2 linked regions of the Rattus norvegicus genome follow. The protein of the gene in region 1 binds, or shares a complex with, the protein of each later gene. Links are inferred from orthologs where the notes say so. Each region holds a gene or a part of one and is shown on either strand. Other genes may lie near its edges.

Region 1 (11,467 bases):
AGGAAGCACAAGGCCCTGGGTTCGGTCCCCAGCTCCGAAAAAAAGAACCAAAAAAAAAAAAAAAATGGCTGTGAGTCACCATGTGGGTGTTGGGATTTGAACTCAGGACCTCTGGAAGAGCAGTCAGTGCTCTTAACCACTGAGCCATCTCTCCAGCCCGGCAAATGTTTTTAAACGCTCATCTCACCTGCCCTAGAAGAAGATTTGTAAGTCAACTGCGGGTGGATCCTCAGAAGGGATCAAGGGAGTCCAGCCTCTCTAGACTCCATTTTTTTAGAGGTCATTTCTCCCTCTCACACATGTTCTTAGTATAGCCTATACTAAGCAGTAGCCTATAGCAGTAGCCTATCACCATGTGACTCAGCCAATGATGGAGGACCCTCATCAGAATCAGCACACTGCTGCCTGGAGGCTCAGCTTCCAAGAAAAGAACAGAGGATGTGGGAAGGCATTAATCTATTTAAATATCTGTGTGTAGTTTGGCATGCTAGTACACACCTCTATTCCTATGGAGCAAATTGTAAATACTGTATATACAGGGTATGTCCTCAGCCTTAAGATTAAAAAAAAACCAAAAAACAAAAGCAAGTATGGAACTCTTGCATAAGCATTTCCTCTTGCCCATGCCAGAATTGAGTACAATCCTGAAGCCACTTTTTATATTTCTAGCAAAGTAGAAGTGTATCCGGAAGATGGAAACTAGGTTTCTTTTTTTAAAAGATTGGTTTATTATGTATACGGCTTTCTGCCTGCATGTATATCTGCAGGCCAGAAGAGGGCACCAGATGGGGTTGGGGATTTAGCTTAGTCAAGGGCAAGGTCCTGGGTTCGGTCCTTGGCTGCGGGGGTAGGGGGGTGGGGGGGTAGGGGTGGGGGGGGGACAGCAGATCTCATTATAGATGGTTATGAGTCACAATGTGTTTGCTGGGAATTGAACTCCAGACCCCTGAAAGAGTAGCCAGGGCTCTTATCCTCTGAGCCATCTCTCCAGCGTCTTATATTTGGGGAAGGGAGTCACAAATGCACAGGTAGAGGGATGGAGCAAGCCTGGCAATGTTAGTTAGAACTGGAGGTGTCACTGTGACCTCATGATCTAAGTATACTTAGCATCCTCCATGTCTGCCTCTCAGTACTGATGAATAATTATTCAGATGTGCCTTCTAAACACATTTCACATTGGGCACTTCACATAAACAAACAAGAAAAAGAAACCCAAAAAACAAAATCACATCACAGAGGTCTATTAGTTCCTATTCCTTAGGGCTATGAAACACTGCAGGCAACCTTACAATTGTTCAGATCCCAGCTTTAGAGGCTGAAGCTGCAGGTGGCCTTGTGCGGATTCTGATGAGGCCCCCAGTCATTGGCTGCATCGCGTCATGGTAGGCAGTATACTAAGAGCATGTGTGAGAGAGAAATGACTCCCAAGTGTTTCCAAGCAACGACGCAGGGCTGGAAGCCGAGGCTCAGTGGTAGAACTCATCTAATATGCATGGATTTGGTCTACAGCACGGAGGAAAAAAAAAAAACGAATGAACGGAAGCCAACCCTGGAATGACCATCTTGAAGGAGGCGGGTAAGCAAGCATAAGCATTTATGAGTGATACAAGGTTCCTTTCAGTTTCCACTATCAGAATATGAATGGGCTGCTTGTCCACAGCCTCTCCAACAGAGGGAGTTGTAATACTTGTGAATTTTTGTTAGTACGCTAAATAAGTGGTATGTTAGCAAGACTTATTTATTTTATGTATATGAGTACACTGTAGCTGTCCTCAGACGCACCAGAAGAGGGCATCAGATCCCATTACAGATGATTGTGAGCCACCATGTGGTTGCTGGGAATTGAACTCAGGACCTCTGGGAGAGCAGTCAGTGCTCTTAACCGCTGAGCCATCTCTCCAGCCCGTTTTTCATTTCTTAAATCTAAGAGGAGAACTGTTGTCTCACATGATGATCTTTATATTTTGGTGTTTTTATAGTAGCCATTCCAGTAGGTGCAAATGATATAATCTGCACTCGCCCCCTCATCGCAGGCTAACATCAGGGCCATGTGTACACTGGGCACTTGAGCACTCTTCTGAGCCACCTGCCCAGCCAATGATCTACTATAATGTTTTGATATAAGATGTACTTGTATTATGAGTGTTTTGCCTACATGTATGTCTGTTTACCACAAATGTGAGGCCAGAAGAAGGCCCTGGATCCTAACTCTGAGAACCAAATGTAGGTGATGGAGGAAACCTTGAAGAGCATCGTAAGCTGCTGAGCCATCTCCATATTGCCATAGTCGGTAGCCAACTACCACGATAGCTTTGACTAGCCGTCTCCAAGAACTAACGAAATCAGACGTGCTGGAGATTTTCTTACCTTTGAAGGAAATCTATTCAAGTCCTTTGTCCTCACTTGTGAGAAGAATGCCAGAGACTGAGCCCAGGCCTTGTGTATTCCTGTGCTCTACTACTGACCTACATCCCAGGACCTCTCAGCTATTTTCCTCTTGTCTTTCTACAAAGAAAAAGGAGGGACTGGTGGGATCCTGCTTTGTTTCTAAGCCTGAACATCTGAGTTTGATCCTTAGGACCCCATGGTGGATGGAGAGAGCCAACTCCCAGATTGTCCTCTGACCTCCATATACCCATTGTAACACACACACACACACACACACACACCACACCACACCACACCATGCAAAACACAATAATGACAATAAAATGTTTTAAACGTAAAACATAACCTTCTCCCCAAATACGCTCCTGTCAGTTCTGTTTGGCTGGGTTATAACATTACAGACCAGAAGACTGGCAGCTATCCCTCATCCTGTCTCTCTGTGGTTCTCAGCTGCCACCACCCACCCTGGCCCCGAGTCACTGCTCTCCTTTCAGCCTCCCCACAGCCTCCCAAATGTGCTTTCAGTTTTCATTTGAAAAGTTGCGTCATGCAGTAAAGCAGTTTGAGCAGTCTTGCTCAAAACGTATGTCCACCCAGACATGTAGTCTGGCCCCAGATAACAGGTTTTGCAGATATAATTAAGAAAAAAAAATATATATGTATATAAACGTATATAATTAAGGGGTCTTAAGAAGACGTCATGAATTTAGGTCAGACCTTAAATCCGTGACTAATGCCTTTACTAAAAGGAAAAGGGGAGGCTGGGGAAACAGCTCAGCCAGTAAAGTGCTTGCTGTGCAAGAAGGAAGACCAAATTCAAGCTTCAAAATCCAGGTAAAAACAAAAGCCAGACATGATGGTGCCCGCTTGTAGCTTCAACAGTTGGAAGGTCAAGACTGTGGGCCCCTAGGACTTAACAACCAGCCAGCCAAGCCTAATCAGCAAGCTTCAGATCCCACTGGGAGACCTGTCTCAGAAGACAAGGAGGGCAGGCAATATGGCTCAGTGGGTTAGACACCTGCTAACCAACATGGTGGCCTGAGTTCTGTTTCAGGGACCCTCATAGGAAGGGAAGGACTGAGTCCCACAAACTGTCCTCTGACCTCCACATGCTTATCCACACAAAATAAATACACATAAATTTAAAACACACATACATACAAAGCGGGTGGCACCGAAGGAATGATACCCAAGGTTGACCTCCGGCGTCTCCCCAGGTGCTCACGTGTGTGCACGCGCACACACATACCAGGTCTCAGTAATGCCTGAGAACAAAACAAGAGACGGAGGAAGACATAGTAGCACGTACCTGTCTACAGTCTGCCTGGTGGCTTCTGCCCTCCCTTCCGTTCGCTTGATTACAGACCCAAGTCACACTACAGCGTGTTGGAGGGACAATGGTCAGACACAGGAAGTGCTTCAGGAACTTTCCTGGGGAGACGAAAACAAAGTTAACTTGCCCGGAACAGGCACCAATGACAGGCTAAAGTACCAAAATCGGGTGATTTGAACCAGTTAGTTTGTTGAGCTTATCTACAGAGTATGAAAGAGAGGCTACTTATGGGAGTATGGGTGACCCTGAAACAGCTTCACTACACAAATATCTCACCCCAACCTTGATGATGACTTTCCAGCAGCTTAGATGAGGTTCCCCACGTCAGTTAACCTTCCACCTATACACATGCTACCTCCTGAGACACGGAGACCACACGCAGCTGGGGCAGAGTAATAAAACAGCTGGCACATCCCTGGTGATGTTAGTGCAATCCCTTAATCCCAGCTATCGAGACACAGAGGCAGGCAGATCTCTGTGAGTTGGAGGCCAGCCTGGTCTACAGAGCAAGTTCCAGTACAGTCAGGGGTACATAGAGAAACCCAGTCTCAAACAGTAACAACAGGGCTGGAGAGATGGCTCAGTGGTTAAGAGCACTGACTGCTCTTCCAGAGGTCCTGAGTTCAAATCCCAGCAACCACATGGTGGCTCACAACCATCTGTAATGGGATCCAATGGCCTCTTCTAGTGTGTCTAAAGACAGCTACAGTGTATTCATATAAATAAAAAATAATAATTTTTTTTTAAAAAAAGTAACAACAACAAAATCAACAGGGTGGTAGTGGTGCACACCTTTAATCCCTGCACTCGGGAGGCAGAGGCAGGCAGATCTTCGAGGCCAGCCTGGTCTGCAGAGTGAGTTCTAGAACAGCCGGGGGGGGGGGGGGGGGGGGCGCAGAGTGAAACCCTGTCTTCAAAAGGCTGACACACGCACACAATAACACAATAATCAAAAACAGCTGACAGGAAGGAAAGGCTCAGATCTTACCTTGGGGGTTTCTGGGGAACTGTCATAGCCCCTCTGATCAAGATGACAACAGTGCCAGGCAGTGGTGGCGCAGGCCTTTAGTCCCAGCACTTGGGAGGCAGAGGCAGGTGGATCTCTATGAGTTTAAGGTCAGCCTGGTCTGCACAGTTCTAAGCCAGTGAATGTTACATTATGAGACCCAGTCTCAAAAACCACACGTCTAGGGGCGGGAGGGAGGCATGCACACACTGTTCTTTCAGAGGACCAGAATTTGGTTCCCAGTAACAACTTCCTGTAATATTAGCCCAGGAGGGATCCAGCTCCTCTGGCCTCTGTGGGCATCTGCACATGCGCGCACACACATACACACACACACACACACACACACACACACACACACACACACACACATATACATATCGACAAAAACACGACAAAGGCCATTGTGCTCAGAGAACAGTGTTCTGCACTGCAGGAACTGATAACCTCTGGCTTTGTTCTTGCTCCTCCTAGAGGATGTCACCAGATTAGTGCAGGTCGGGCTGGGCCCTCGACTGGGAGCAGGCTGTTTTTCAGAGCACTGGTCTATGGGTCCTGTGCATCCTGAGGGGTGGGGTGGAGGGCAGGGATTGGGGGGCGGTCTCAGCACTACAAGTGAAGGACACACAGTGCCACTCTGACACTCTCTTGAGCCCTGGTGACTAACTCTGTCATCCCTTTCTGCCCACCAGAAATAAGCCCATTCCAAGTACCTCGTTTTGTCCTGCTCTTCCTCAGTGGACTCACACTGGTGGCATTGCAACAACAGGATGTGAAAATGCCGGATTCCTGTTCCAGGTAGCTTCCAGGTAGCTGACTGACAGAACGACAACCCAGAGGTACTTTGCACTCCCGGGATTAGTAAAGGGAGACGCTGCCTCCCAGGGTCTATCTCCAGGATATCCAAGCCTCCTCTTCTCGAAAATCCTCCAGGCCTAATGGATTCCAGCTGAGAACAGTGTGGCGAGCCACCGCTGCTGCCGCTGCTCCTCCTCCTCCTCCTCCAACGCTTAGCGGAAGCCCAGGACCCCCGCAGCCGCCTCCTTGTCGCCCTAAGGAGGACTCAGGGACTGGGGAACCGGCTGGAGCAGGGTTGCCCTAGACTCTCAAACAGCGGACCCGGGCGCTCAGAACAAAGGCACAACTGCTCCAGCTGCCATGAGAGCCGGAGCATGCGGGCTCCGGAGTCCCTCACAGTCGCTTGGTTTTTTTGTTTTTTGTTTTATTTTTTTGAAACTGTTCAGGCTACCCTGGTGCTTGCTAGAAATCCAGACTGGCCTCACGCTCCTCCAGTCTTTGCCTCCCAAGTGCTAGGATTACAGGAGTGAGCCACCATCCTAGAGTGACACTGTGACAGGCCATGAGGCAGAGGAGGAAATAGAAGTAAAAATGGGGTGGGGTTGGAGGTGGGATAAAATACTGATGCCTTGATTTTTCCACACGAACATGTCGTTAATATTACTTCTTTATTACTTTTACTTTTGGGATTTCGTTTTTAGACAGGGTCTCATGAAGCTAAGGGTGTTAATACATTACCACTGTGATGTGTTGGGTTTTTTTTTTTTTTTTTTTTTTTTTTTGGTTGATTTTGGTTTTGGACACAGAATTTCAGGCAGCCCAGGCTGGCCTCCAACTTGCTAAGTAAGTGGAAGCTGGCTTTACCATCCTCTTAACCTGCTAAACGCTGGGATTACAGGAGAAACAAAGAGCTGAGGTGGCTACTAATCTATCAAAGCTAATAGGGTCGTCAAGCCCCTCAGCAAAACTAGCACCTGTTAGAGTCCTGGCTTCTCTGAGCATTCCTCGCCACTCTGTATCCTAAAGCCTCCAGCCCCTGAGATCCCCTTATGTTCCCCATCTTCTCATTCCTATATAGCCCAGCCCAGGAACTCTCTTGGTTTCCATTCTTTTGGCTTCTTGGTTCTTCTCCCTCTCCTGGTCTCTGTCCCTCTGTCTCTCCCCTCATGGCCAGATTCAGTCTGGATCTTTCCAGATGCCTCTAGCCATTCTCCCCCTCATATCTACAATAAAAACATTCTCCTCAACCATATCTAGGAGGAATCTGATACTTATTTTCATTCACACCATCATGTCTAGCCTTTTCTTTTAACCTTTTATTTTGACATAGTGTATCACTAGATGTCTTCTGTTTGACCATGAACTTGTAATTCTCTTGTCCCAGCCTCCTGAATGACTGGGAATACAGTCTTGTGCTATTCAATTCAAACAAAAATGTGAGTTTTTAATTCACTGCTTTTATTTATTTCTTTTACACTTATTTACCTCTCTTTGTACAAGTTAACATTAAAAAAAAAACACAAATAGGCATAGAGAGATGGCTCAGTGGTTAAAAGCACTGACTGCTCTTCCAGAAGTACTGAGTTCAATTCCCAGCAACCACATGGTGGCTCACAACCATCTGTAATGAGATCTGATGCCCTCTTCTGGTGTGTCTGAAGACAGCTACAGTGTACTTACATATAATAAATAAATAAATCTTTTTTTTAACATTTATTTATGTATACATCATACAGCTTTCTGCCTGCATGTATTCCTGCAGGCCAGAAGAGGGCACCAGATCTGATTATAGATGGTTATGAGCCACCATGTGGTTGCTGGGAATTGAACTTAGGACTGGAAGAGCAGACAGTGCTCTTAACCACTGAGCCATCTCTCCAGCCCCTAAATAAATAAATCTTAAAAAAACCCACACACACAAATAAATTAGGGTTGAAGACCATGGAGTGTGTGTGTGTGTGTGTATTCCTGAATATCGAGGCCTGGGTGTGATGTGTACAGAATAGAGGACACATTTTGAGAACTAGGGTCACTCTTCCCACCACATGGCCTACAGAGTGAGTTCCAGAATAGCTAGGCCACAGAGTGAAACCCTGTCTCTAAAAAGAAAAAAACAAAACAAACAAAAAACCCAACCAACTAACCAAACAAACAAAAACACTAAAGCCAGTAGTGGTTGTAATCTCATGTTGTAAGCTCAGGAAGCTAAGCTAGGAGCTTGGAAAGTTCCAGGCCATGGTGGATAACCTAGAGAGTTGCAGGCCAATAGGTGGTGTTTAACAGGTGGTCGAAAGTGTGTACTCTCAGGACGTGAAAGGTACGCTCAGTACGTGAAACAATAGAATCGGGAGTTCAAGATCAGCCTCTGGTACAAGATTTTCAGACCAGCCTGGGCAACATGAGACCCTATCTCTAAAGAACTAAAAGCAACATTTTTAAATAGAGATCTTGCCTACAACACATAAATCTTGTGTTAAGCTCGCTCCCCCCCCCCATGGTGTTTGTGATGGTTTGAATGAGAATAGAATTCATATATTTGAATGCCTGTTTACCAGGGGGTGGAACTATTTGAAATGATTAGAAGGATAAGGAGTTATAAGCTTATCAAAGGAAGTGTGTTACTGGGAGTGGGCTTTGAGGTTTCAAAAGCCCATACGGGGCCCAATCTCTGTCTCTGTCTCTGTCTCTCTCTCTCTCTCTCTCTGTCTATGGATCAGTCTGTAGCTCTCATCTCTACTTACTCTAACACCAGTCGTGCGGCCATGCTCCCTGCCATGATGCTAATGGGCTAACCCTCTGAAACTGTAGACCAGCCCCCAGTTACAGGCTTCCTATGAGAGTTGTCTCAGCTGTGTGTATGTTCACAGCGGTAGAATGGTGAGTAAGCCAGCGCCGAACAATGGTAACCATACACCTGGGAGGGTAGAGACCCTATCTCAAGAAGACAAACTAAAGGTATATTAGTGATGTGTAGGCTTTTCTTGGTTTCGAGGAACTGCTGTGTTCAGGAGGGATCAGGGAGGGATGTTACCATGGCATTCAGTCCAGGCGGGCTCAGTTGACCCATGGCTTCAATTGATCTCCATAGCAAATCCCCACCTCCCCTGAGCCCAGCCTGAAGGGTATTGAAACTTTCTATGGCTTTAGCTCCTGGGCAAGGTTAGAATCCTCTTGTACTGGACACTGATGACATATGGTAATGTTTTGTCCAGAAGACTCCACACTCCCCTGACTGTCAGGGTTGGGAGGGTTTTTCCTTGTTGTGTCTCCAGTCAGAACAGAAGGCCCCAAATCCTTTCCTGTGTGTGTGTCGGTAAGAACTCAGGGGTGTATAACCCTAGCAACTTGGGAGTTGTAACCGGAAGATCACAAGTCCAAGGCCAGTATAGGTGGATCAGAGAGATCCTATTAGAACAACAAAGAAAAAAATGTAAAGATAACAAAACCAGTAGTAGAATGCTTGCCCCGCCCTTGGAGTCCTGATTCATCCAGCTGCCTGTGTTGCTCTAAGCAGCTGGGAGCCCAAGGCAGGCATAGCCAGAGAGAGAAATAGCCAAGAGCAATATGGTGCTGCACAGTGTGCCTTGCTGTGGACACTGAAGTGGATATAATTAAGTTCTGGCCTCTGAGGGGGAATCTTCTGGAGTGAACAGTGTTGTTGGTAATAATTACTCTCAATTGGGGATTTCTACCCTGCCTTGTGTCATTTAATTCCCAGATAAAAGACACACAACCTTTATGTTTATAATAAGCCTTTACAGCACTAGGGCTGGGAAGACATCAACCCCCCATGCTATTTTGTCTACTTACCTGCCAATAACCTGAGATATGACTGCCAAGTTCTACCTGGGCCACTTTTTTTGTTTGTTTGTTTTTTGTTTTTGTTTTGTTAAGATTTATTTATTTTATGTATGTGAGTACACTGTCACTCTCTTCCTACACACCAGAAAAGGACATCAGATTCCATTACAGATGGTTGTGAGCCACCATGTGGTTGCTGGGAATTGAACTCAGGACCTCTGAGTAAGCAGTCAGTGCTCTTTTTTTTTTTTTTTCTTTTTTCTTTTTCTTTTTTTTTTTCAGAGCTGGGGACCGAACCCAGGGCCTTAGCACTCTACCACTGAGCTAAATCCCCAACCCCGCAGTCAGGGCTGCTGAGCCCTCTCTCCAGCCCCTAGCCCTACTATTTTTAATGAATAAATTTTTAATGTCTCCATTTAAGACTCTATATGACAAATGTTAACGTCATGTGACTAGATCTCTTTGAATTCCTCAATAATAAAGAGTTTGTCAGGTGCGGTGCCGTGGTCCTCTAACACCAGTGTTTAGGAAGCAGAAGCAGGCAGAGCTCTGTGAATTTGAGGCTGGTGTACTTTGAGAGTTCCAGGACAGCTAGGGCTACATAATAGAGAGACCCTATCTCAAAAAAAAAGTAATGGTCTAAAGGGGCCGAGGGAAGATGGCTCTAATATTTCTGTGTATTATACACCTGTAATCTCACAGTTGTGAAGTACACAGGAATGAGGACTAGCTTACCAATCTGAGATTCCACTTGCTTTGGGCTATACACATGCTTTTACTTTTAAACAATTTATTACTTATTTTTATTTTATGTACGTTTGCGTTCTGGCTGCATGTATGTCTGTGTGAGGTGGTCAGATCCCCTGGAACTGGAATTACAGTTGTGAACTGCTGTGTGGTGATGGGAATTGAACCCCGGTCCTTCTGAGCCATCCCTCCAGCCCCTAATGATGCACGTGGCAGTCTGAAACCTTTGCCCATCTGCATTCTGAGTGCACAGGCCCTTCTAAATAATAAAATGTTTCTTCTTATTTAATGACTATCAAACTTGTATGGTTGGTTTGTTTGTTGTCGTTTGAGACACGGTCTCTCTATGTAGTTTAGGCTATCCTGAAATGGTCTCACAGTGATCCATCTATCTGTCTCTGCTTCCCAGGTGCTGGAAAGGCATGCACTGCTACACCTGGCTAAATTTGTACAGTTTCTATTCAACAGTATTACATGCAAACATACATACATACATGTTGTTGTAAAAATATAAAAATAAAAAAGTAGGGCTAGAGAGATGGCTCAGTGGTTAAGAGCACTGACTGCTCTTCCAGAGGTCCTGAGTTCAAATCCCAGCAACCACATGGTGGCTCACAACCATCTGTAAAGAGATCTGATGCCCTCTTCTGGTGTGTCTGAAGACAGCTACAGTGTACTTATATATAATAAATAAATAAATCTTTAAAAAAAAAAAGTAATGGTGGTCTTTTACCCCGCTAGGTCTACACCTCGGCGTCCCAAGATATCTGCTAGACATCTGGGCAGAAACACAGCCCAGCTGCACACTTTCCTACACTCAAACCCTCACATAAAAGAACACACAACACAATAATCTTAGATCCAATTGATAAGATTTAATTGCCCACTTAAACATACAAAGCCCGGTACCATCCATCCCTAGGAACATTAATAACAACCTGTAAATACACAGAGCAGAATCTTAACATCACCTGCCATGACTTCTCACCCTCTCTCTCTCCTCTGTCCTGTCTCTTCTCTAGTCTCCTCCTCTTCCTTCAAACTTCTCTCCCACCCATCCTTCCTTCTCCTCCAATGACAGGCCTCCTTCTATCCTGTACCTGCCCTTCACCTGTACTTTACAAATTCATTAGGGAGGCTCTGGTGAAGTCACCTGATTCCTGACTAGGCAGCTGTCCTTGGGGCAGTGGAATTAGCATCAAAATACAGTAACGTCAGGGCAAACCACAACACATACATACATACATACATACATACATACATACATACATCTGGTAGGAGGAATGATCCAGCCTGTGGTGATTTGAATATGCACAGATCATAGGAGATGCATCCTTGTTGGAATAGGTGTGGCCTTGCTGGAGGGGAAGTGTGAAGCCTTATGCCCGAGCTCT
Region 2 (10,694 bases), on another chromosome or scaffold:
TATTTGGTGAAGACAAACTAATTAACAATAGGAATAATTCCGATGAAATTGGTGTGTTTTGATAGGCGGACTGTAAAAGCAAGATAAATCAAAGAGGAAATAAAGGTGGAATACAAGTCATTTCAAACTCTTGGATATTTCTTTTATGAGCCAGTATTCCGCTACCAAGCACCTAGGACTTTAGATTTCAAATAGTCTAACCCCATGAATACACTCAAACTAGAGAGTCTGTGCTCACTCTTAATAAAACATGGAGGCTGTCTCTCCACCGATGGAGTAATCCTGGCTTCGCAGGTGAAAGTACGAGGTGTGAATAATTCCATTGCCTTGTCACCCCCCCACCCCTTGTGGTGTCCGAAGTCCTCCTAAGCAGGGAGAGCTGTCACTTTATTAACCTTTGGCACAGGTTGGAAACCTTGGTAATCTACCAATCAAGTCTGCCACTCAATGCTTCTATGGCTGCACTGGCAACTTGTTGGCAGGATAACGCTTTAGCAAAACCAGTAAGAGCTCTCTAGAGCTTTCCATCCTAGAGTGAGGACCGCTTCTGAATGCTGAGGCAGAACCCTAGTATGTTCAGTCTGGTTTAACCGAGTTAAAAGGGTGCCCAGTAGGGTCTGGGGATGCACTAGTCGGGGTGTAGGTGCACACACTGCCTCCCCACGCCATGCCCGCAGAGGGCCCTCGCTCACGCCTCAGTGCGGGTTCGGTGGCAAACACTGTCCGGACCGGGAAAGGTGTCAGCGAACACTAGTCCCACAAGACATCGATGGTGTCCGCGTCCGGTCATCGCGTTACCTGCAGCAGGTGAAGCTGGGCCACGAGGTGCCGTGGCAGATGGAGGAAGCAGTCCCGAGCATTCGTGAAGGCCACCGTCACGACCGCCCCACCAGACCCCGCACCGGCTAAGCGATCACTGCTCCACATTGTCCCAAGGTTCAACTCTCGCCGGAGAGCCGAGTCCGCCGGCTTCCCGTCAGGCCAGGGCGTCGGAGCCCGAGAACATCGATCGGGGCCGCCCCCCTCTTCACTCGCCTGACCGCTGTCACTCTCGGATCGCTCCTCCGAGGCTCTAGGGGGCGGCACATCGCTCGTCGAAGTCTCGCTCTCCGGAAACAATCGTCGATGGGGTCGATCCTCCAGCCAATCCTAACACGCTTGGCCCATACTGCTCTCTCATTGGACACAAAGGAGCACCGCTGGCGGATGTTGTTCTGGCGCGGGGGCTTGAAGCCGGCAAGATGGCCTCCAGTGACGGGAAACCCGGTGGCATATTCGACCACCACGTCCAGACAGCTGTGTGTGACTCGCGGGCCAAATACAGGGAGGGCCGACGCCCTCGCGCGGTCAAGGTAGAGTGACTTGGGTTCCTTCTCTCTCCTCGGCAGGAGCATTAACTTCCTGTCAGCACTAGCTCTCCATGGCCTGCCTCCATAAAGGCACGGCAGGGATGCTGTCAAGTCCATCTCTCAGTGGAGGGGGCACGAGGAACAAAGTTTATCGCTGTTGTCGGTTTACTGCTTACTCCACGATTTTTAGCTTTGCATCCTATAATACAAGGACAAGGTCTCACAGGACAAGCCCTGTTAAGTGACTGTTTACATTAGCTTCTCTGGGGTCAACTTTGGGAAAAGACGTCTGTTTAGTCAGATACCCTTATGTGGAGTGTGTTATTCTTTAGGCAGAAAGAGTGACAGTTTTGTGTGTATGTTTTGCAGACCATATTGAGCAGAGTATTTCTTGTTTTCAAAGCTCCATTTAAAAGAGGGATGGGAAGACAGATTTGCCATAGGCTTGTTTGAAGAGTACGTTTAACGGGCTCTCCCCCGACTTTAGGTATATACCATCAATTTGGAGTCTCAGTACTTACTAATACAAGGAGTTCCTGCAGTGGGAGCCATGAAGGAATTAGTTGAGAGATTTGCTCTCTATGGTGCGATTGAACAGTATAATGCTCTAGATGAATACCCAGCAGAAGATTTTACAGAAGTTTATCTCATTAAATTTGTGAAATTACAAAGTGCAAGGTATGTACAAGTTAAGCAGAACTCGCGTCTTCTATTCCTGTTGCCGTCATTTCGGCCTCAGGATTTCCCAAACAGACCCAAATCACATGAGCACTTCTCACTCTCAGTCTTCCTGATTTGGGGGTTGGGGAGCAGGGTTTATTTGAATAGCTTTAGCTGTGCTGGAATTAGTTCGATAGACCAGGCTGGCCTTGAACTCAAAGAACCCTTTGTCTCTGCCTCCCGAGTGTTGGGTCCAAAGGTGTGCAACACCCCATCTCGCCTTCTGGTTTAGTTTTTACCAGGCCTCACATATGCAGTCAGTCACTCTAACAGTGAATGATATCCCAGCTCTTCCTTCTGATGTTCGAAAGGCTGACTTTACAACACTTTTCCCATCCTGTGCTTGATGGTTTCTGAACCTGGAGTGTGGTAGATTTGGGAGATGAGGAATTACATTTGAAGCACATTTCCAGTCCTATGGCTTCCTGACTTTGGAGAATTTTATTCCTGCCAAGCACATTTTTTTTTCTTTTCCTAAAATCCACAGGGCAAAAAGGTCTACTTCTTGAGGTTCACTGAGGAAGGATGAAATGAAACAATTTATGTAAAAGGATTAGACTGGTACCTCCTATTAAGAGTAAATATTAGAGCCAGGCAGTGGTGGCACAGGCCTTTAATCCTAGCACCTGGGAGGCAGAGGCAGGTAGATTGAGGTCGAGGCCAGCCTTGTCTACAGAGCTAATTGCAGGACAGCCAGAGCTACCCAGAGAAACTGTGTCTCCAAAAAAACAAACAAACAAACAAAAAAAACCAAAAAACAAAAACAAAAAGTAAATATTAGTAATGACAGTTCTTATTAGTATGGTTCTATGTTAATCAACCTTGTATTCCAATAAGACTGAAGTCAACAATGCTTTATTTTATGTTAACCCTTTGGGTGGGGGAGTGTGTGACTGTAGGTGGGTGCACGCCTGCGTGTGTAAAACTTGCTATGTAGGCCAGCTGACTAGAACTCAACTTCCTCCTGAATCTGCCTCCCCATCCCCACCAGGTTTAAAGACATGTACCACTACAGTGTACTCTACCCTATGTTTTGAGACGAGACCCTTATTGAAACTAGAACTCATGGCTAGATTGGTTGGCCATCAGGCTCCAGTGGTCTTACCTTCTCTATCTCGCCAGCACAGGGATTATAGGCACAGTACGGTGCCTAGTTTTTATGTGCACGCTAGGGATCTGAGCCTAGCTACTCAAGCTTAAACAAGTACTTTTTCAACTGAGCAGTCTCCCTAGCTCATGTTAGCCATTTTTTCTTTTTAATCATTAACATGATCTAAACCATATCCTTCTCTGGCTTTTGCCATTTATAAATGTTTTGGTGGAAAAGGGCTTCAAATCCTCTGGCACTGGAGTTACAGGTGGTTGTAAGCTATCCAAAATGGGTCTGGGATTTGAATCTACTCTTCCCAAAATCAGCAAGTGCTCTTATCACCCACCTAATTATCCCTCCAGCCCCTGTGTTTCTTTTGTTCGCTACTCCTAGTCCACCACAAAATCACTTGACTTCAAAAGGCCATGTGCCTTTTCTTACCAAGTGGGCAACTCTTCGTGGTATAGAGAGCAGATTCTCTAGCGCCTTGTATCTCTACAGACCCTGATACAGTTGGCTTTGGAGTCAGCCATCTGAGTTGAATCCTAGTTTTATAGATGAATGTATGTGACCCAGAATTTCCCGGTGCCTTGGTTTTACCATGAGATGGTTATGAGATGTCAATTTAAGTGGCACACTTGTGGCTTTGCATGGAGTAATCGCTCAATAAACATTAATCATTATCTGTAGATACAGAAGTACTTAATTACTTACAGTGCTTGGTTCAGCATAGGTGTTCAGCATTTCTTTTTTAAACATTATTATTTCTCTTATTTTTATGTGTATGTGGCGTGGCTATTTGTTAATTGTTTTTGAACCATGTAACTTATGCATTTCTTTAGCATTCTCTTTAAGTTATGCATTTCTTTTTAGGATAGCTAAGAAAAAGATGGATGAACAGAGTTTCTTTGGAGGGTTACTTCATGTGTGCTATGCTCCAGAATTTGAGACAGTTGAAGAAACTAGAAAAAAATTAGAAGAAAGAAAGGCTTATATTTCAAGAGTTACTAAAAACCAAGGTATGGAAATATGGAAAGTCTGTGTTAACAACTCCTGTGTGTCAGGCACTGCTAGGTATGTGTGTCATTGTGGAATTCCTACTCAGTCACGTTCTTCGGTGACTTGAACTGATGGGGTCTGTGCCCCACTGTGGAGTCTGGGCCGGGAAGGGAGCAATGTTGATTCATGGAGATTGCCTCTGGCATGGGAGAGTTAAATAGTCGTAAATGGTATTCAGTAGTAAATAGGGTAAAAGGATGGCAAGGTAAGCCAGGCTACGTTTAAACTTAGGCAGATAAATTGCCACCATACATTTAAAGAGCTGTAAGTCCTACAGAGTAACCAGAGTTCCAAGGTTTTAGTGAGAGAGATTAGGAAAGTAGACAAGAAGCAAATTATGAAGCCTTGTGTCCCAGGCTAAGTGGCCCAGGGTTTAAACATGAAGGCAGCAAGAAGCAATTGTGGTTTACAGACTGGTTCTACATGTTGCTCATTATGGGAAACTAACAATTTTTGATCAGCAGCAAGTTTTATTATTTTTCAAGTGGCTCCAGAGAAAAGTAAGACATTCTAGATAGATGAGTAGGTGACACTTGGCAGTATCCCATGGAATCCTTTCAAAAAGCCTTTAAGCCTTATCACTGTATTCTCTGCTCTAGAGGTACCATTTTAGGAGTAGAGCTTCTTAGCATTTTAAGGTTTGTTTTTAGAATTTTAAGATTTTGGATGTTCAAAATGATTAATGATTTGTTTCCCTTTCCCTCAACTTGTAAAACTATGACTGTAAAGACTATTATGTGACCAAGAAGAAACCAGTTCCAGAGCAAAAAGGAACAAAAGATTCTAGACAAGACTTCCATGCACATATGCCTGGATTTTGTACACCTGCTTTAAACACATCTCCCAAGAATCCTTCAGAGAACTCAAGTCCTTGTCTTCCTTACTCTTGTGAATTCCCTTTATGCTATTTTGCCTCCAAAAGCCCATGTTCACCTGGGGAGCACACGGACAAAGCGTCAGACTCCTGCAATAGTGCTAGGAACCGTGGTGAACTGCAGAAGCACCGTGACCACAGTGCCTTTCCCCCAAAACTACAGATGAACACTTACAAAACTTCCGTCCCTTGCTCTAGTGTGCAAGAGGCCATTGCTACTTCACAGGCAGTTGGCAGATTTATGCCTAGGACAACACAGCTGCAGGAGAGGAAAAGACGGCGAGACTGTGATCGTGAACTTGGAACTTTTCTTGAAACAAACATAAGCAGTAACGAGGTTTTGATTGGACCTAAGTTACCAGGTATTCCCACAGTAGATCTGCAGGATGACTCCTTGAATACAACGGCAAACTTAATTCGGAGTAAACTTAAAGAGGTGAGGTTTTTTGTTTTTTTGTTTTTTTTGTTTTTTTTGTTTTTAATTAATTGTGAGACCAACAACTTGATAGGAAATTTGGAGGAACTAAAACTTTGTAATTATTTGGTTTTGTTATCTTCTAAAATATCAAATTTGATCAATATCTATCTTTTTTTTTTTTAAGTCATTTCATTTTATGTATGTGAGTATACTGTCACTCTCTTCAGACACACAGGCAGGAAGAGGGAGGACATCGGATCCCACTCAGATGGTTGAGAGCCACCATGTGGTTGCTGGGAACTGAACTCAAGCCCTCTGGAAGAGCAGTCAGTGCTCTTGACCACTGAGCCATCTCTCCAGCTCCCTTTACAGTCATCCTTGACTTAACAATGAACAGATACATTTTATGTCAGTATAGGTACAAAATGCTAAATGTCCAGTCAATCAGACTATGACAGCTGATTCCGGATACTGTCTTTCCTCCCTTCCCTATTTAAAGCCAGCTCCCTAGGTAGTAATAGCATAAGCAAAAATTGACAGTTATAATTGATTATTTCTCTTAAAATTCAGCTAACTGCAGATTACATCAGAGTCAAATATTCATAAAAGGAATGATTTTGATCAATCACTTAATTTTGTTGGGAACCGAACTCAGGGACTTGTGTGTTGGGCAAATGCTCCATCACTGCCGCATCCCCAGCCCACAAAGTGAGATTATTAAAAACTGAGTCTGTGCCTGCCCACACTCAGTTGTGTGTGTCAAGATCAAAGCTCTGAATAGTTAGAGATCAGATTGTCTAACCCCCGTTCCCGTTATTTACTTTATTTTCCATTCTGTAAACACAAAAGAAAGTTAACAGTTGCAGGAGCTTGTGAAAGCTTTTTGTGGAGTGGGATGGGCCTCAGAATCATTTCTGGAAGGCCGTAAGCATTTTCTTAGTTAACTCCCTGGTCAGCCCAGCTCACACGGGGGCTCACACGGGGGCTCACACGGGGCTCACGTGGCGCCCTCTTGTTCTGCAGTGTGATTGGAGAAGTGATTGGAGAGGAGGTGCTTCTCTGTCTTGTTTTGGTTTAGAGTTTTGTTTCCACCTAGTTGAAATGGTAAAGTGTATGAATGTGGTTTTATTTTTAAGTCTCCCTAAGTTTTTCGATATATGCCAGCACCTTACTTCCTTCTGGTGCACTACACTGAGGCACACAGACTCGTGGCTGTCTCAGTCAGGACCAACTGCATTTAAGTGTAAACTCTACATCCAGAGAAATAACAGGTCAACAAAAACATACTTCATATACTTAACCACAACTTCTAGTATTTTCCCATCTCAAATCAAGGTGGTCTTATCCTGCCTTTGCCCTACTATTAAGTTATTTTTGGTAATGGAATAACAACAATGTATTCAGAAGCCATTGCAGCTGAGATCTCTGTTAGCCAGCCTGGTCCACCTAGTAAGTTCCAGGTCAGGTCAGGCCAGTCAAAGTTACACCTGTTCAAAAATAAACCAAACAACCTGTAAAACCAGGATTTTATCTGTATCCTGCTGTTTCTGGGCTAAGGTGAAATCCCAATGTTGTTTCAATTTGCATTTGTTTGAGGTGAGATAGCATCCTAATCTGTTCTTTTGCATTTCCCTGTTGCTAATGATGTTGGACATTTTCAAACTTGTGTTGGCCATATGTGTTTCTTCCTTTGAGATCTGTTCAGCTTGTTAGCCTGCTTATTGACCGGATCACTTGTCTTTAGTGTGTAACTTTCAGCAGTTCTTTGTAGATGCTCGACATGAAGGCCTCATTTGTGTCATTGGGCACAGACCCCCCATTGTGCAGGCTCTTTCACTCACGTTCCTGACTGTGCTGCTGTGCAGAAGCTCCTCAGTTCCATGTGATCCCATTCGTCAGTTTGCTCATCATAATCTGTTCCTTTACAATCCATTTCAAAGATCTTTGCCTAGTCTCTTGAAGTGTTCTTCCTGTTTTCCTCTGGTAGTCTGAGAGCTTGTTACAGTCCTCAGTACATTTTGAGTGTGTGTGTTTGTGTGTGTGTGGTGTGTGGTGTGTGTGTGTGTGTGTGTGTGTGTGGTGTGTGTGTGTTTGTGTGTGTGTGTGTGTGTGTGTGTGTGTGTGTGTGTGTTCTCCATGTGTTTTTGATACCCTTGTCAAAAAATGTTGTAGCTGTGGCTATGTGGGATTACTTCTGGCCTCTGTTCTATCCCCTCTGCATTCTTGTTTTTATCCAGTACTAGGCTGCTTTTGTGTCTTAGTTAGGGTTTCTAACGCCATAACCAAAAAGCAAGTTGGGGAAAAGGTTTATTTGGCTTATTTTTATTGCTGTTTATTATTGAAGGAAGTCAGGATAGGAAATCAAGCAGAGCAGGAAGCTGGAAGCAGGAGCTGACGCAGAGGCCATGGAGGGGTGCTGCTTATGTGCTCGGCCTACTTTCTTAGACAACCCAGGACCACTGGCCCAGGAATGTACCACCCACGATGGGCTGGACCCTCCACCATCCATCACTAATTAAGAGTGCCCTACAGCCAGATCATAGGGAAACATTGCGTCAGTTATGACAGACTGGGCAGCACATCTATCTTATCACTGTGGCCCTGTCATCTGACCTAAGATACTGTTCCATCTCTAGCTTTGTCCTCACTGCTTGCTATGGCTTTAACTCATTATGAAACATTCCTACTTCCATAAGACGTTTAGGGCAGTTGTTTTGTACCTTTATAGAGGATTTCTTTGATTCTTCGATAAGGATTGTGTTTGTTCTTCAGATCACATCATCTTCACAATATTAATTCTGCCAGGGCCAGAGAGATAGTTCACCAGGTAAAGATACTATCCACAAACCTGACCACCCTGAGTTCAATCCTCACTCTACATGTTTCCTCTGGCCTTCATATACATGCTGTGAGCACATATATATTCCCTTGTGCACAAATAAATGAATAAATGTAGTTTTCAAAGTTAATTCTGCCAGGGGTGGTGGCTCATGTCTTTAATCCTAGCCCTTGGGAGGCAGAGGCAGGCAGAGCTCTGAATTTCAGGCCATTCTGGTTTATAGAGCTAGTTCTAGGCTACACAGAGAAACCCTAGAAACTGTATCTCAAAAAAACTTGAGAGAGAGAGAGAGAGAGAGAGAGAGAGAGAGAGAGAGAGAGAGAGAGAGAGAATATGCCTGGGGCTGGCGAGATGGCTCAGTGTAGAGATGTTTGCTCCCTAGCCTGACCACCTGTGCTCTGTTCTAGCACCTACTACAACAAGTAGTTCTCTCACATCCCTGTGTGCACTGTGCTGTAAGCGAGATGGGGCAGCATAACAAGTATAAATTGTTAAAATCCCACAATAATCCAGAAACATGAGAGGTTATGCCATGTTCTATTTCTTCTTCAGTGTCTTTTCTCGCTAAGAGTTTGACTATAGAGGTCTTTGGCCTTCTGGTTAAATTTATTCCTGGGCTTAAGTGTGTGGTATATATGTGTATATATGTTCATGTATGTGTGCACATGGTCTCCTCTGTTACTTTTTTTTTTTTTTTGAAGCAGGTTCTCTCCTTTAACCTGGAGCTCACTGCTCGGCTGGACTGCCTGCCAGCAGGCTCCTGGGACCCTTTTGTGTCTGTCACCAAGGTTGGAGGTTTAGGTGTGCTCTACTGCACCTGGCCATTTCCCAGATGCTGGAGAGGAGAACTCTACTGCACCTGGCCATGTCCCAGGTGCTGGAGATGAGAGCTCTACTGCACCTGACCGTTTCCCAGGTGCTGGAGGTCAGAGCTCAAGGCTGCATCTGCATGGCAAGCACCTCACCAGCAGAGCCTCCCTCCCGAACTATTTAGTTTTGTTGTTTATTGTGAATGGAATTTTTTTTCTGATTTTTTTTTCTTGGCAAGTTTATTGCTTTTACAGAAAAGCTGCTGTTTTTGTTTGTTGAGTTTATATATTTTTATGACAGTGCTTATCATAGTTTAGCATTTTCTGGTCAGATCTTTAGAGTCTTTTAAGTGTAGAGTTGTGTAGTCTGAATAGAGATCACATGATGTCTCCCTTTCCTCTGTGTTATTTTTCTTGTCTCGTTGCTCTGGCATAGACTCACAGTATCATAGTGAATAAGAGTAGAAGAGGGGACACTTTTGTCTCTATCCCTGATATTAAAGGAAATTCTCTGTCTCCTCTAATTGTCTACTGACATAAGCATATAATTCCTGTTCTTGAGGCTCAGTGTATTATTTATTGATTTACCTATGTGGAATCTTCCTGGAAATCTTGGAATGGAACTGACTTATTCATAGAATGAGTCAGGTAATATTCCTTCCTTACTCTTCTGCTTTTTAACCTAGTTTGAGGAGCGTTGGTATTAGCCTTTCTTTAAGCATTAGTGGGATTCAGCAGTGAATCCATTGGACTTTTACTTTTCCAGGGACTTTTATTGATGCTTCACTCATAGATATATTTAAATTGGTTGTATCAAGTTAATTTTAATAGGTGGTATTGTTACCCCTGTTGCCTAACCTTTTTTGTCAAGTTAAGAAAGCTTTATTTTCTGTCAGACAGGGCTGCCTCCCTAGTGTGGGGATTGAAAGAACAGCAGTGAACATAGAGGAAAGTACAATTTACATAGCTTAAGGTCGGCAAGACTAGAGTACGTGGGACTCCGTAGAACATCTAGGGGGGGAGGTGCATAGTGCGTAGTGTGTCCCATTCCAGAAGTGTGCCAAGGGGTAGTCAGGTCCAGTTCACAGAAAGCAGGCTGAGTCATGTAACAAGACGGCTTCTAATCCTAATGGGCCAGGCTTGTCCATCAATTATGCCTAGGAATTGATCCATTTCTTTTAGACTTTCCAGAATTTTGAAATATGTTTTCAAAAGAATTCCCAAATGATTCTCTTAATTTTACGAGAATCTGTTTTAACCTTCCTGGGTTTTTTGGCTGGCTGGCTGGTTGGTTTGGGGTATTTGCTCCCCTACCTTCTCTCCCTCTCTCAGTTTGTTAATATTACATTTGAAAGGAACCAAGTGCTTATTTGGTTGGTTCTATGTGTTGTCCTTTTAATCTAAATTTTACTCATTTCTGCCCCATTTTTCCTGACTGTTGCTGCTGACTGCTTAATGATCCTTTCTTCTTTTTAAACCAGGTGACTTCATCTGTGCCGAAGCCTCCGGAGGACAATGGTGAAGATGTGTGTACAA

Evidence for each region. Proteins that work in one complex are often made in the same cells at the same time.
Region 2: Srrm2 (region 1) and Rbm48 share a complex: the UniProt entries of both Homo sapiens proteins name them as parts of the minor spliceosome. The link is inferred for Rattus norvegicus from reciprocal best matches to the Homo sapiens genes SRRM2 and RBM48.

What each region holds. Positions count from the first base shown.
Region 1 is NC_086028.1:13,314,334-13,325,800, reverse strand, and holds the start of Srrm2 (serine/arginine repetitive matrix protein 2), read right to left. Parts: upstream 5,743-11,467; 5' UTR 5,441-5,742; exon of another isoform or gene 5,428-5,440; intron 3,820-5,427; 5' UTR 3,698-3,819; intron 1-3,697. UniProt on the Homo sapiens protein: Required for pre-mRNA splicing as component of the spliceosome. As a component of the minor spliceosome, involved in the splicing of U12-type introns in pre-mRNAs.
Region 2 is NC_086022.1:31,512,686-31,523,379, forward strand, and holds the start of Rbm48 (RNA-binding protein 48), read left to right. Parts: upstream 1-1,241; coding exon 1,242-1,352; intron 1,353-1,836; coding exon 1,837-2,027; intron 2,028-4,032; coding exon 4,033-4,178; intron 4,179-4,947; coding exon 4,948-5,528; intron 5,529-10,639; coding exon 10,640-10,694. Other genes in the region: peroxisomal ATPase PEX1, read right to left, coding at 799-927. UniProt on the Homo sapiens protein: As a component of the minor spliceosome, involved in the splicing of U12-type introns in pre-mRNAs.